2 linked regions of the Sus scrofa genome follow. The protein of the gene in region 1 binds, or shares a complex with, the protein of each later gene. Links are inferred from orthologs where the notes say so. Each region holds a gene or a part of one and is shown in the gene's direction. Other genes may lie near its edges.

Region 1 (5,280 bases):
CGTCTCGCTGGCACTGCTGCGCAGACTGTCTGTCTTGCCCGGCCGGGCTGTCTTGCGCCAAACCAACTACTCCTTCTCGCCCTGGCATGGCTTCACTATCCACAAGGCCAAGTTCATCGAGGGCCAGGACTACGCGTGCACCGTCCTGGTAGACGGCAGGGTGGTGTGGAACAGCGTCCGGCTCAACGTGCAGAAAGGTGTGTGGGCCGGGGGACGGGGAGGGCCAGGGTCCCCTCATCACCCGCTCCCTCCCTGCCCCACAGTCAGCAGGGGACCCTTGCTGGGGTGAGGTGGCGAGGTGCTGGGTGCAGGGACGGAGCCGCGTACCAGCCCACAGCGCAGGGCAGGGTGGTCTCGGTGGGAGAGGCCGAGAAAGTCCTTGAGCAGGGGGCGGAGTCGAGAGGGAGGAGCCCTGCGGGGAGGGTGACGCGTTTTGGGGCTGAAATGAGAAACAGGCAAAGAGGAAACTGCAGGTCGCCCGCGGTGGGAACAGGCTCCCCAGGTTCCAGGAACAGAGGGAGGCCCGAAGCGCTCCCGCACCCGCCTCGTGGGTTTCTGGCTTGGCACCAGCTGCGGTGCCGGGCGCTGGGGAGCAGAGAGCCCGGTGATGGGGCGTGGCGGCAGGCGCCTGGGACACCTCCCTGGGGACAGTGCTGGTGACGTCTCTCTTGTGTTCCCCCGTCCCTGCCCAAGGCGATTCTGGTTTCTGGAAGGGCCGAGTGAGCCCGCGGGAACCCAGGCGCAGGACCTGGGCCTGAGACTGGGGTCCAGGGTATGTGATGAGGCCACAGTCAGAGCAGCCCTGTGCTCTGAGGCCACGAAACCTGTCCCGGAGGCCCAAGGCCCCCACCCAAGTGCAGAGAGGCCCCGAATGCCTTTGGTGTGCACTGGCAGAGAGAGCCCGGGCCCCAGCGCTGCCAGGAGCCTCTCAGGGGCCATGCATGAGGCCACGAGGGCCCCGCCCCGGGGAGATCAGGTGATTTTTCAACAACAGCAGCCTCGGATGTTCATTCAGTGCCTACCACGTGTGGGGCACCGGGCTAGCTGCCAGGGGTGTTACCTTCCTGGATTTGCCCTTGATGAGGGTTCCAGATGGGACAAAAGGCAAGTCAGCAGCCGTAGTGCTGAACAAGAAGCCCAGCTGGAGGCACTGGGGTCGGACGAGGCCGGCTCAGCTAAATCGGTCGCAGGAGGCCTCTCTGAGGGGGATTGGAGCCGTAGGTCTGAGAGGCGGGGGCCAGCGCCCCTCACTGTGGGAGAAGCCTCCCCAGGGCACGGTCTGGGGTGGTGGCGGGGAAGGCTGTGCCCTGGCAGCACGGTGAGCGGACGGGGACAGGTGGGCAGGCACAGGGACAGACCTGGGAGGTGGGGCTGGAGCTTCTATTCTGAGAGTGATGGGAAAGCCGCTCCAGGTTGGCACGAGAGAGGCACTGTCCTGATTTCATCGTGAAGAGCTCGCCTGGGCCGGGGGCAGCAGGAGCCCGAGCCGAGACGGAGGGTGCGGCTGGGAGGGCGGCGGGTGGGCCCAGCTCTGTCTGGGAGGCAGGAGGTGTGGGGAGATGGAGGCGTCGGGGCTGCCACCCAGGATGTGGGGCGGGACCCCGGCCGGTGGTGGGCGCAGAATGATGGCTCCGGCCTGGGCGTTCACGGGTTCCCCCCGCCCCGCCCCCAGTCATCCCAGGCCCCCCGACCTTGACGCTGAAGCCCACAGAGCTGGTGCGCATTCGGGGAGAGGCCGCCCAGATCGTGTGCTCGGCCACCGACGTGGATGTCCACTTCGAGGTCTTCCTCCACCGCGGAGACACCAAGGTCGGTGCCCGCGGGCGGGCCCCGCAGCCGCAGCCCCCAGCCCCGCCTCCGACCCACCCACCGCTCTCAGGGCCCAGGGCGGGACCTCCCCCAGGCCGGAGGGCACTTGCCCAAGATCCGCTGCGGGTCAGGGGCTGACGCAGAAGCAGCAGGCAGGGTCGCGCTGCTGCGTCTTGGGGTGGGGGGTTCTCTACTCCCTGCGCCCCTGCCGGCGGACAAGAGCCACCTGTCCGCTCACTTCTGATGTAGCAAGAGGTTCCTAGGCCACCTTGGATGCCTGGGACTGAGGGCGGGTGGGGCCGGACTCTCAGCAGGAAATGGACTCAGGCCGCTCCCAAGGCCGTCCTCCCCCAGCCGCGGCATCGCCGTGCCGTCCGCACACGCAGCGCGTCTCACTTTGTCTACACCACAACCCTGGGAGCGCAGGGCCAGTGTCGGTCCCACTGTGCAGATAGAGAAACGGAGGCCCAGAGTTCCAGGAAAGAGTCGAGGAAAAGGCCAGTGGTGACTTTTAAAGGGTCCCCCAGCTTCCGGGGGCTCAACCCCTCAGAGTGCGGTGTCCCTTCCTTCTGGCTGCAGCTGGCCATCTCTCAACAATCCGACTTCCACGACAACCGTTACCAAAAAGTCCTGACCCTCGACCTCGATCCCGTGGGCTTCCAAGACGCCGGCAACTACACCTGCATGGCCACCAATGCCCGGGGCACGCACGCCACCTCCATGGTCTTCCGGGTGGTAGGTGAGCATCGGGTGGTGGGGGGATGGGCGGGGCCCGGGCGGGGGGAGGGGGCTGATGCAGAGAAGGAGACGCTGGTGACCAGCTCGCGGGAAAGCCTGGCTAGGGGCGTCTCTCCACGGCCCTCCCAGAACCCCCTCCCACCCAGGAGCAACCCCAGGGCGTGGCTGCCTCGGCTTCCAGCATCACTCCGTTCTGCTTGGGGGCCGGGGTCCAGTGGCTCCCCCCGGGCTTCACCGTCGACCCATTCAGTCGTCCCTCCAAGCCTGGGACGCTCGTGTCCCTGGGACACATGAACAGACGGCCGTCACCCGTTGTGGTCGGGGATGTGTGGGATGTCCTGGGAACACCAGGGGGACCCCAACCCAAGAGCCTTGGACAACGCGCCCTCTAAGCTGGGACCAGAATGGAGGCGGGTCGGCCCGGCAGACGGATGGGAAAGGAAGGGAACAGCTCTTTTGGCAGAGGGAACAGCATGAGCAAGGCTCGAAGGCAGAGAAAGCGAGAGCGTTTGGGACAGCAGCAGGGACCCGCCGGCGCGGGAGGGCCGCCGCACAAGGCGGAGCTGAAGGCGGCGTCCGCACGGCCAGGCCATGGGTAGTGGCCTCGTATCTGCTGAGAGGGTGTGGAAGGGCTTCAAGAGCGCGGTGCGATGAGCGTGTGCAGAGGGGCCACGCGCGCTGGTCGGGAGCCCGCACTCCCGGGCCGCACTCCCCCTGGCTCTGCCAGTGGCGTAGGAGACGGCGTCACCTCTGCCTCACCTGCAAAGTGGGGAGGTGGCCAGAGCTGTCTCATAGGCCTGTGGTGACAGCTGTGAAGCTCTCGGTGTGGACGTGGATTTAGACAGGGTTAAGGGTGTAGACATGGACCGGACATAGATGTAGGCGTGTAATTTGAAGTACTCAGCATGGGACCTGGCACGGAGTAAGTGCTCAGTGTGCCTGGGGAGATGTGATCTGAGGGGCTCAGCCCGACGTCGTGTGGACAGGATGGGAGACCAGGGGCTGGAGACCCATCAGGGCGGTGAGCGCAGGGGTCCAGGCCAGCGATGGCTAAGGGCGCCAGACTGCGGTGAGGCCCAGGAGCGTGTCAGACGAACGACCTGTGTGGGGTACTGGACAAGGCCTGGTGGCCGCTGGGAGGAAGCGACGAAGGGGAAGGAGCCAAGACCACGTCTGGGTCTTGGGCTGGAGTGACAGGGAGGGCGGCGGGAGCGTGGCTGAGCATCCGGAGCAGAGGGGCGTCTCTTGGTGGGGGGCGGGGGGACTGGCCCTGAGTCACTTGAGTCCAGCCGCACCTCGTGTGTTAGATGTTATTGGGGGGGGGGGGGACGACAGCGCGGGAGCTCTGCCTGGGGCCCCGTCCTGTGCCGAGAGCGTCCAGGGCTGTTGGAGGAGAGGATGTTGAAAAGCTCCCGGTTCTGGGTCTAAGCCTGGGTTTTCTGGTGCAGGCACACAGCAGCCACTCAGTAGAGGTTTGCCTTCCTCCACTCTTCCGGCCGGGTGCTTCTCAGTGTAAGGACACAGCTACAAAAGTCCTGCCCACATGGAGGTGATACTCTAGCTGGGAGAAAACAAAAAGCAAAACCAGTGGTGTAAAAAAATCAATTTTATAGGGTTTTCAGTTTAAAATGGGCTGATCCGCAAGGAAAATCTTGCCGGGAAGCTGGCATTTGGACAAAGACGGGAAGTGGACGGAGGAGGAGGTGCAAGCGCATCTCCGAGAAGAGCGTGCTGGGCAGAGGCAAGCAGCCTTCTCGAGGATGCTCGGCGGGGTCGGCCAGCGTGGCCTGGCCGGGGTGGAACCGGAGAGGAGGGTGGTAGCAGGGAGGCTGGAGGAGAAGGAGCGGGTCCCTGTAGCCAAGGCGAGGACTCGGGCAAAGGAGTGATGTGACCCGCCTCGGACGGAACAAAGCACGACCCAGCTCTCTGGTGCTCTGCGGAGGGAGACACAGGTAGAAGCGGAGAGGTGAGAGGCGACTGCTCGTCGGAGCTAGAGGTGACGGTGGCTTCATTAGGGTGGTCACGGTGGCGGGGATGCTGGGAGTTTGGATGGATGGTTGGCAAGAGAGGTGGCTGGCTAAGGGAGAAAGAGGCGAGAAGGAAAGAAGCTCGCCCTAAAAGCTCACAGACTCGGAAAACAGCTACCTAGAGGGAGAAGCAGGTGCACAAGGGGGAGCCTGAGCAGCGTGTCCCGTAAAAGGGCCGCAGAGGGCACGGAGCAAAGTGACATCCGTCAGAGAAGGACCCACGGCATCACTGAGACGTAGGATTGAAAAAAATAAAGCCAGTGACTAGAACAGAAAGAGACTCCCAGGGAGCAAGCCAGCGGTTACCAGTGGGGAGAGGAGAGCGGGGCGGGGGCGGGGGGGGCATTGGAGGTACAGAGACTATAGTGGGAAACCAGCCGCAAGCACGTATCATACACTGCGGGGAATAGAGACGAGCTTACAGTCGCGCCGACGGAGCAGAACGCTGGGCGGTGAGACACGGCGCAGCACGCCCGAGACGCAGATGACACTACACCAGCTCTATGTCAATTTTTTAAAAAAGAGCTAAAAAAAAAAAAAGGGAGGGCATTTCTGTTGTGACTCAGTGGGCTCAGAATCCAACTAGTACCCGTGAGGATGCGGCTTCCGGCCCCGGCCTCGCTCAGTGGGCTAAGGGCCCAGCGTTGCCGGGAGCAGCAGCGCAGGTCGCAGACGTGGCTCGGATCCCGCGTGGCTGTGGCTGGGG
Region 2 (5,987 bases), on another chromosome or scaffold:
CACTTCATAGGCCTCATCCCATTAAATCACTTTTCACCAAAGTAAAATCACCACTTCACTTTGGTGAGAAAGATAAACATGGCACACATTGTCAATCCACTGCTGTACTTTAATTTTTAAAAAAACAGAAAGAAAGGAAGGAAGACATGAAGGAAGGAAGAAAGACAGATAAATAGATGTCTCCATTTTATAGATGAAGACACTCAGGCTGAGAGAGGTTTGTCTCAAGTCACATAACAAATGACAGGGCAGAGCTGCAAGGGCAGAGAGCTATAAGTGGTGGGGTCGGGGTTCAAACCCAGGTGTGTAAAGAATTTCAGTGAAGGGGGAACAAGAACCCGAGGCTCGTGCTGACAAAGAAAGGCTGCCTTCCAGAGCTGCATCCTCACACCGGCCTCAGTGAGCCCGAGGCAGCGCTGGGTCAGGGAAGGGGAAGCAGTGGAATTTACTCCCAGCTCCACAAGTCAAGAGGTTTATCTCCTTACTTTACTTCCTTAACCTCTTATCCTTAAGAGCAAATGGTATCAACCCATTGTCTTAAATCGGCTTGTACTGGGCCCATTTAACAATGCCCAGGGGAAGTAAGCCCTCAGCCTCCTTCCTCTGGCTGGGCTCGGTCTCTGCTCTTCCTTCCGCAAGGCTCTGAGCATCCAGGGCTTCCCCACACCCTTTAAGCTCCAATTGCTCCCAAGCCCAGGAAAGCAGGTATGTCAGCGTGTCCATTCTTAGGCCCAGCCTGGTGCCTGTCGCATCACAGCCACATGGTGTGCATTTGTCAAATGAATGAATCATTCTCTAATGGCCTCATTTGATTCGGTCACTGTTAAGTGGGCACCTTCCATGTGCTAGGCACTTGATTTGGAGGTAAATGACCACGAGACCACCCTGGAGAAAGTTCTCAGTCCGGGGTAGGGGTGAAGTTTCAATCTGATGATCCAAAACATAACTCTCAGTACCACCTTAAGTACTTTTTAGAATGATGTGGGGCATGAGCGAATGACAGTGGATCAGGGAGACCGCAGAGAAAGGAGCCCAGTCCAGTGAGACCACAGGAACAGGAAACATTGATCCGCCCGAGGAGTGGAAGAAAGCTCTGCTGCTGAAGGATGTGGTGTGCTTTCAACCTTGAAGGATGAGGCGTTTGCCTTAAGGACAAGTGGGGAAAGGAGCGTTCTTTGCTGGGGGACCACTATGAGCAAGGGCACGAAGGTGTAAAATTACCGCTTGAGGGTGGATGACAAGAAATGCCCCTTCCAGACCAGACTGCCCTGTATTTCCAAGGGCTGCCAGTGGGTGGTCACACAGAGAGAGCGAGAAACATTGAATCACAGCCAACTGAAGAAAGAGAAAGCTCCCAAATTTGGCATTGTAATTACCAGGCTCACCCTATTAAGCCTTGTTTAAATTCATTCTCACGTAGAGACAAAGTGTGATTAATCAGCTCAGTAAAAGCATTTTCAGAAACATCGGGGGAAATCTAGAGCCAGGATGCCTATCTCCCCAGGTCTGGACGCTCAGGAGGGAGCAGGGTACCAGCCAGCATTTACATCACCTGCAGGTCTGGTGCCGGGGAGCATCTCCCGGCACACAGCAGAGCCTCCCAGCTCCCTGTCACAGGACACAATCCATCCCATTCTGGCCAGGCAGTTAGCCTCTCTGCCTGGACGCTGCCTCCAGACTGGGAGACGAGAGGCTGGGCGGGCTGCTGGGGGGCTGCCTAGGCAGGAGAGGGCTGCCTACAAACTTGCTGACTCAAGCTCCACAAGGTGTTGCAGCATTCGCATTGGTCTCCAGCGTTTTTCCCTACTCTCGGAGCATTTCCTGCTCAGATTTGGGAATTTTCAGGCTTAGAGGGAAAGTCCCTTGAAGCGAATATTAGAAAAAGAGAGAGAGAGCACCCAATCCGCCTGGAGAGCGCGGAAGGGAAGGCAAGGCTCTGTCCAGAGCCGGCGCGCTGGGGGACGGGAGGCGGCGGAGCCCGCGTTACTTTCTCAAAGGCGCCGTCGTTGAGCACAGCAAAGAGGGCGACTGCAAGACTAGCGGGGAAGACCAGCCCGCGGGGTGGGGGCGGGGAGGCGGTTCAGTGGGCCTCTGGAGTGTGTGTCTGTGTCAGTGCGCGCGCGCGCGGGTGTGTGTGTGCATGTGTGTGTGTGTGTCTGGCGCCTGTCCAAGGTGATTTCCCATAAACCACATGCCTCACAAGTCCGCTTAAAAGGCTGTGCCGAGGAGCTGGCCAGTGGAGCCCGGCTCAGGGAAAGTGAAAGTTTGCCTCGGTGCTCTTGGCGCTGCCGTGGGTCCCTCCGCACTCCCGGGACAGCAGCGCGGCCCTCGGCCGGGGCGCGGACTCTGCAGCGGCCAGCGAGCGAGCGAGCGCGGGCGGCCGACGCGCCCGGCCGGGACCCAGCTGCCCGTATGACCGCGCCGGGCGCCGCCGGGCGCTGCCCTCCCACGGTAAGCGGCGGTCGCGGCTCGGGGCCCGGGCTGGGCTAGGGCGGGAGCTCCGTGGCTCGGCGCGGCCCCTCGGAAGCCCCTACCCGGGCGGCCGGCTGCCGAGGCTCTTCCGCCCGGGCCGCGGGCTCGGGTTTCCATCCCATCTTTGCGCGCCGACTGTCCGAGGCCCCTCGTGCGCTCCGGCTAGAACCAGAGACGGCCCTGCAGCTGCTCCTGGGGCTGCAGCGCTTGTCCGGGAAAGGGAGGGCTGCTCACCCCATTGCACAGGCGGGCACACTGAGCCACCCGCCGGCAGGAGAGAGGGCTTCGCAGCTGCAGCGCAGAGGCTCCCTCCTTGCTTCTTTTCCTTATGAATCAGCCTCCAACGAGGAGCAGGCGGAGTGGCTGTGAGATGAGGGTGGTGCTTTCCCAGTGGGCATTCCTCCCCGGCCATAAACACGTCCTGCTGGGGAGTGGGCACGTCGGGATGACGAAGGTTCAGGAGCCATCCAGCTTATAGAATGCCAAGGCAGCCCAAAAAAAGGGGGCCAGGGCAAGCCACTACTTGTTCCAGCACACAGGCAGGAGCTGTTGGGCACTTGGGTGGCTGGATCAAGTCTGTCTGTGGGGGACATGGCCCCAGAGTTGCGTGGGGCCAGCTCTGAATCTTCTTGTCAAATATGGTTCAGTCCCTTGGGGAGATCCTGGGCTTGGTGGTGGTAGAGGAGGTGGAAGGAGGGTTTGCGGTTGCAGAATTGTGGACCGGGGCTGCGGGCTGCTCAGGACTGCACAGGGGCTGTCCCGCCCCAACCTCGGGCTGTAGCTGGGGCAACCCCTAGACAATGCAGGGTGGCACCATTCCTGCACAGTAAGTGGTCTCCCAGTGAGTGTGCTTCTGTGAAACCCTGGAGGACAACCTGGGGTCGTGGGGCAGGGGGGAGAGAAGCAGAAAAATATTTGGAGGATAAGAGAGGGGGCTGCAGATAGGGTGAGAGGGAAGAACCCTTCCACGGAGGAGGAAGAGCCCAACTGAGAGAGAAGAGATGGGGTCAGAAGGGAAAATCAGGAAGGATGAGGTGAAAGGCAACAAGACAAATAGGGGCTGGAAGTGAGACCTCTGAGGAAGGAGGAGAGTAAAATGCATAGAAAAGGGGGCCGGTTTCAGACAGCGGCAGCCCAAGGGTCCACCCGTGCCAAGGTCTCTCCGAGGACCCGACTGATGGGGAAGATGAAACAGGATGGGACTTGAGTGAGGAAGGCCAGCTGGACTGCGATGTCCTAGCATCTCTCTGAGCCCGAGGCAGAGACTCCTTGTGGCTGCCCCAGAGGCCAAGGCTGGTGGGTGGAAGGAAGAAAGGGGTGGGGAGAAGAGCCAGCCCAGCCAGATGCAAGCTAGAGTGTTAACCCCTGGGTGCCTGTCCAGATCTTCCTCTGGGGACAAGTCAGGGCTCCAGGAGTCCCTTTTGGCCACCTTCAAAGTCAGCCTCTTACATAGTAGCTGTACTCTCCCCCCACTGAAACCTGAAATATCTCCAAAAGCTGGGCAGCCCTTGGGGTTAAGCACTGCCCTCTCCTTGCTGTCCTCAAACAACCATATCCTGAGTTGCCTGTGGCTGCCTTCCTGAGCATCTCTTCCCCAGGCCCCTCCCCCCAGACCACTTCCCCCCCAGGGGCTCAGAGCCTCAAGGGCAGCAGTGGAGGGTGGAGACTTACCCTCTGCAAGACCCAGTTTCCTCCCATGGGTCCCGAACCACGGCAGGTTCCTGAGGGCCTGGACAGCCGTTCCCACCCAAGGCTGCCTCCTCAGCCACCCAGAGGAGCCCCATGTCCCCCTCCCCTTCCACTCTCTCCCCTTCCCCAGGTCAGCCAGGGATCCTCAGAGATCCTCTGCCGAATGGCCCTGGGCCCTCTGGGGCCTTTCTCTGAGGCCTCCCCCTCCCTCTCTCTGCCATCAACTTCTCCCCATCTTGCAAAGCCTCACTGTGCCCCCCTCCTCCCTCCAACCTCCCTGGAGCCCTGCCAGGGCCTCTCCTCTCTGCTAAGAGCTGACAAACATTCGGGCTTTTAGTTATATGCAAATCAGCATGTTGTTGTGAGCTGTTTCATAGCCTCTAATGTGCTATTTGTTTGCAGTATTTGTCTGAATTACTGAGGCAGAGCCCAGAGCCCAGAACCTAGGAAGGTGCCAGGCCTCGCCCCACCCTGACAGCATTTCCCTGAACTAGGGGGCATCAGCTGCCAGGAGGTGACATCCAGCTGGGGAAGGAAAGCCCAAGGGCCTTTCTCTGCCTCTGGACAGAGAAGGGGAGACCTAGGGCCAGGAGAGGGCTAAGGGGACCTGTGCAAGAAGGCAGGAAGGGGAATGACAGGGTGTCAGGAGCCTGTCCCATCACTCTGCGGGGGAGCAGCTACTGGGCCAGGTGGGTGCTGACAGAGGGAGAGATCTCAGAAAATGTTCTGGCCACGCTTCTTGCTGGCTGGCTGGTGCTGAGCCTGACGGGGCTCAGATAGGCAGGTGCCAGGCAGGGATGATCTAGAGCTGGCTCCAGTGCCTCTGATTAATCTTTTTGACACACATACCCAGGGCTCCAAAGGTTTCTGGTGTGGGATAGGTTCCCAGTGAAACTGAGTTTGGGCCCCTGGTTTTTCCAGTAGCAGAGCCAGACCTGTGTGGAATCAGGTAGGAGGAAGGGCTGGGCCCAGGAAAGTATCTCTGGCTCCAAGACTAGAAGCCAGCCAGCGTAAGAACATGAACTTGAGAGAAGTGGGCAGCTCACAAGATGCCTGGCTCAGTGTCTGATGTTGCAGGGACAGAATAATGGGTAGAGGCAAGTCCTCCACTCAAGGAGTTTCCTGTGTAATTGGCATGGGGACTGGTAGGCACACCTCCCATGTCCCTAATAGAAATTCAGTGTGTAGTCAGGCTTGGGCTGGGTTGATCTGGGAAGGCTTCTTGGAGGAGACGACTTTTGGGTTGTTATCAAGGGAGAGCAAGGCTGTGCGTGGCGGTCAGGAATGCCCAAGGAAGCTGGGTTTGGGAATGCTGCCTTCTGGGATAAGAGGCGAAGCCTAGAGCACCGTAGGTCTGAGGTCCTCAGCAGGGCACGGAGGTTCCGGGGGAGTGTGGGAGCCAGGGAGAAATGATGCCCTCTCTTTCGCAGACATGGCTGGGCCCTCTGCTGCTGCTGGTCTGTCTCCTGGTGAGCAGGAGTACCGCTGAGGAGGTGTCGGAGAACTGTAGCCACATGATTGGAGACGGACACCTGAAGGTCCTGCAGCAGCTGGTGAGTGTGTGGCCCTGCCTCCCTGTCTGGCCCCCACTGGGGAAACTGAGGCAGGAGCCAGGGAGCAGGCCCAAAGAGGGGGTTGCCGGCAGAGAAATAGGACCATGCAGGAAGGGGATCATGGCTCCCACTAGCTCCACAAGGCTCTTCTCACTGACCTTCTAAAGGTCGGGGCCTCCAACCACCCCATCCCACCCCTGCCACCAATCCCAAAGGCCTCTCTGACTCCCCTGCAGGCAGTGGACAGGGTGGGCTTCCAGCTGATCGCGTGGG

The links.
Region 2: the proteins of CSF1R (region 1) and CSF1 are in contact, whole or in part, in a crystal structure (PDB 3EJJ), measured with the Mus musculus proteins. The link is inferred for Sus scrofa from reciprocal best matches to the Homo sapiens genes CSF1R and CSF1. Residues at the interface, in NP_001032948.2 of Mus musculus: Arg142, Arg146, Leu149, Arg150, Lys151, Lys168, Val169, Leu170, Ser172, Asn173, Val231, Gly232, Phe233, Leu248, Ser250, Asp251, Phe252, Asp254, Asn255, Tyr257, Lys259; in NP_001107002.1 of Mus musculus: His38, His41, Met42, Gly44, Asn45, Gly46, His47, Phe87, Gln90, Asp91, Asp94, Arg98, Asp101, Glu110, Arg111, Gln113, Glu114, Leu115, Asn117.

Annotation. Positions count from the first base shown.
Region 1 is NC_010444.4:151,119,591-151,124,870, reverse strand, and holds part of CSF1R (macrophage colony-stimulating factor 1 receptor), read left to right. Parts: coding exon 1-197; intron 198-1,672; coding exon 1,673-1,809; intron 1,810-2,388; coding exon 2,389-2,548; intron 2,549-5,280. UniProt on the Homo sapiens protein: Tyrosine-protein kinase that acts as a cell-surface receptor for CSF1 and IL34 and plays an essential role in the regulation of survival, proliferation and differentiation of hematopoietic precursor cells, especially mononuclear phagocytes, such as macrophages and monocytes.
Region 2 is NC_010446.5:110,194,153-110,200,139, reverse strand, and holds the start of CSF1 (macrophage colony-stimulating factor 1), read left to right. Parts: upstream 1-1,907; 5' UTR 1,908-2,412; coding exon 2,413-2,451; intron 2,452-5,591; coding exon 5,592-5,714; intron 5,715-5,987. UniProt on the Homo sapiens protein: Cytokine that plays an essential role in the regulation of survival, proliferation and differentiation of hematopoietic precursor cells, especially mononuclear phagocytes, such as macrophages and monocytes.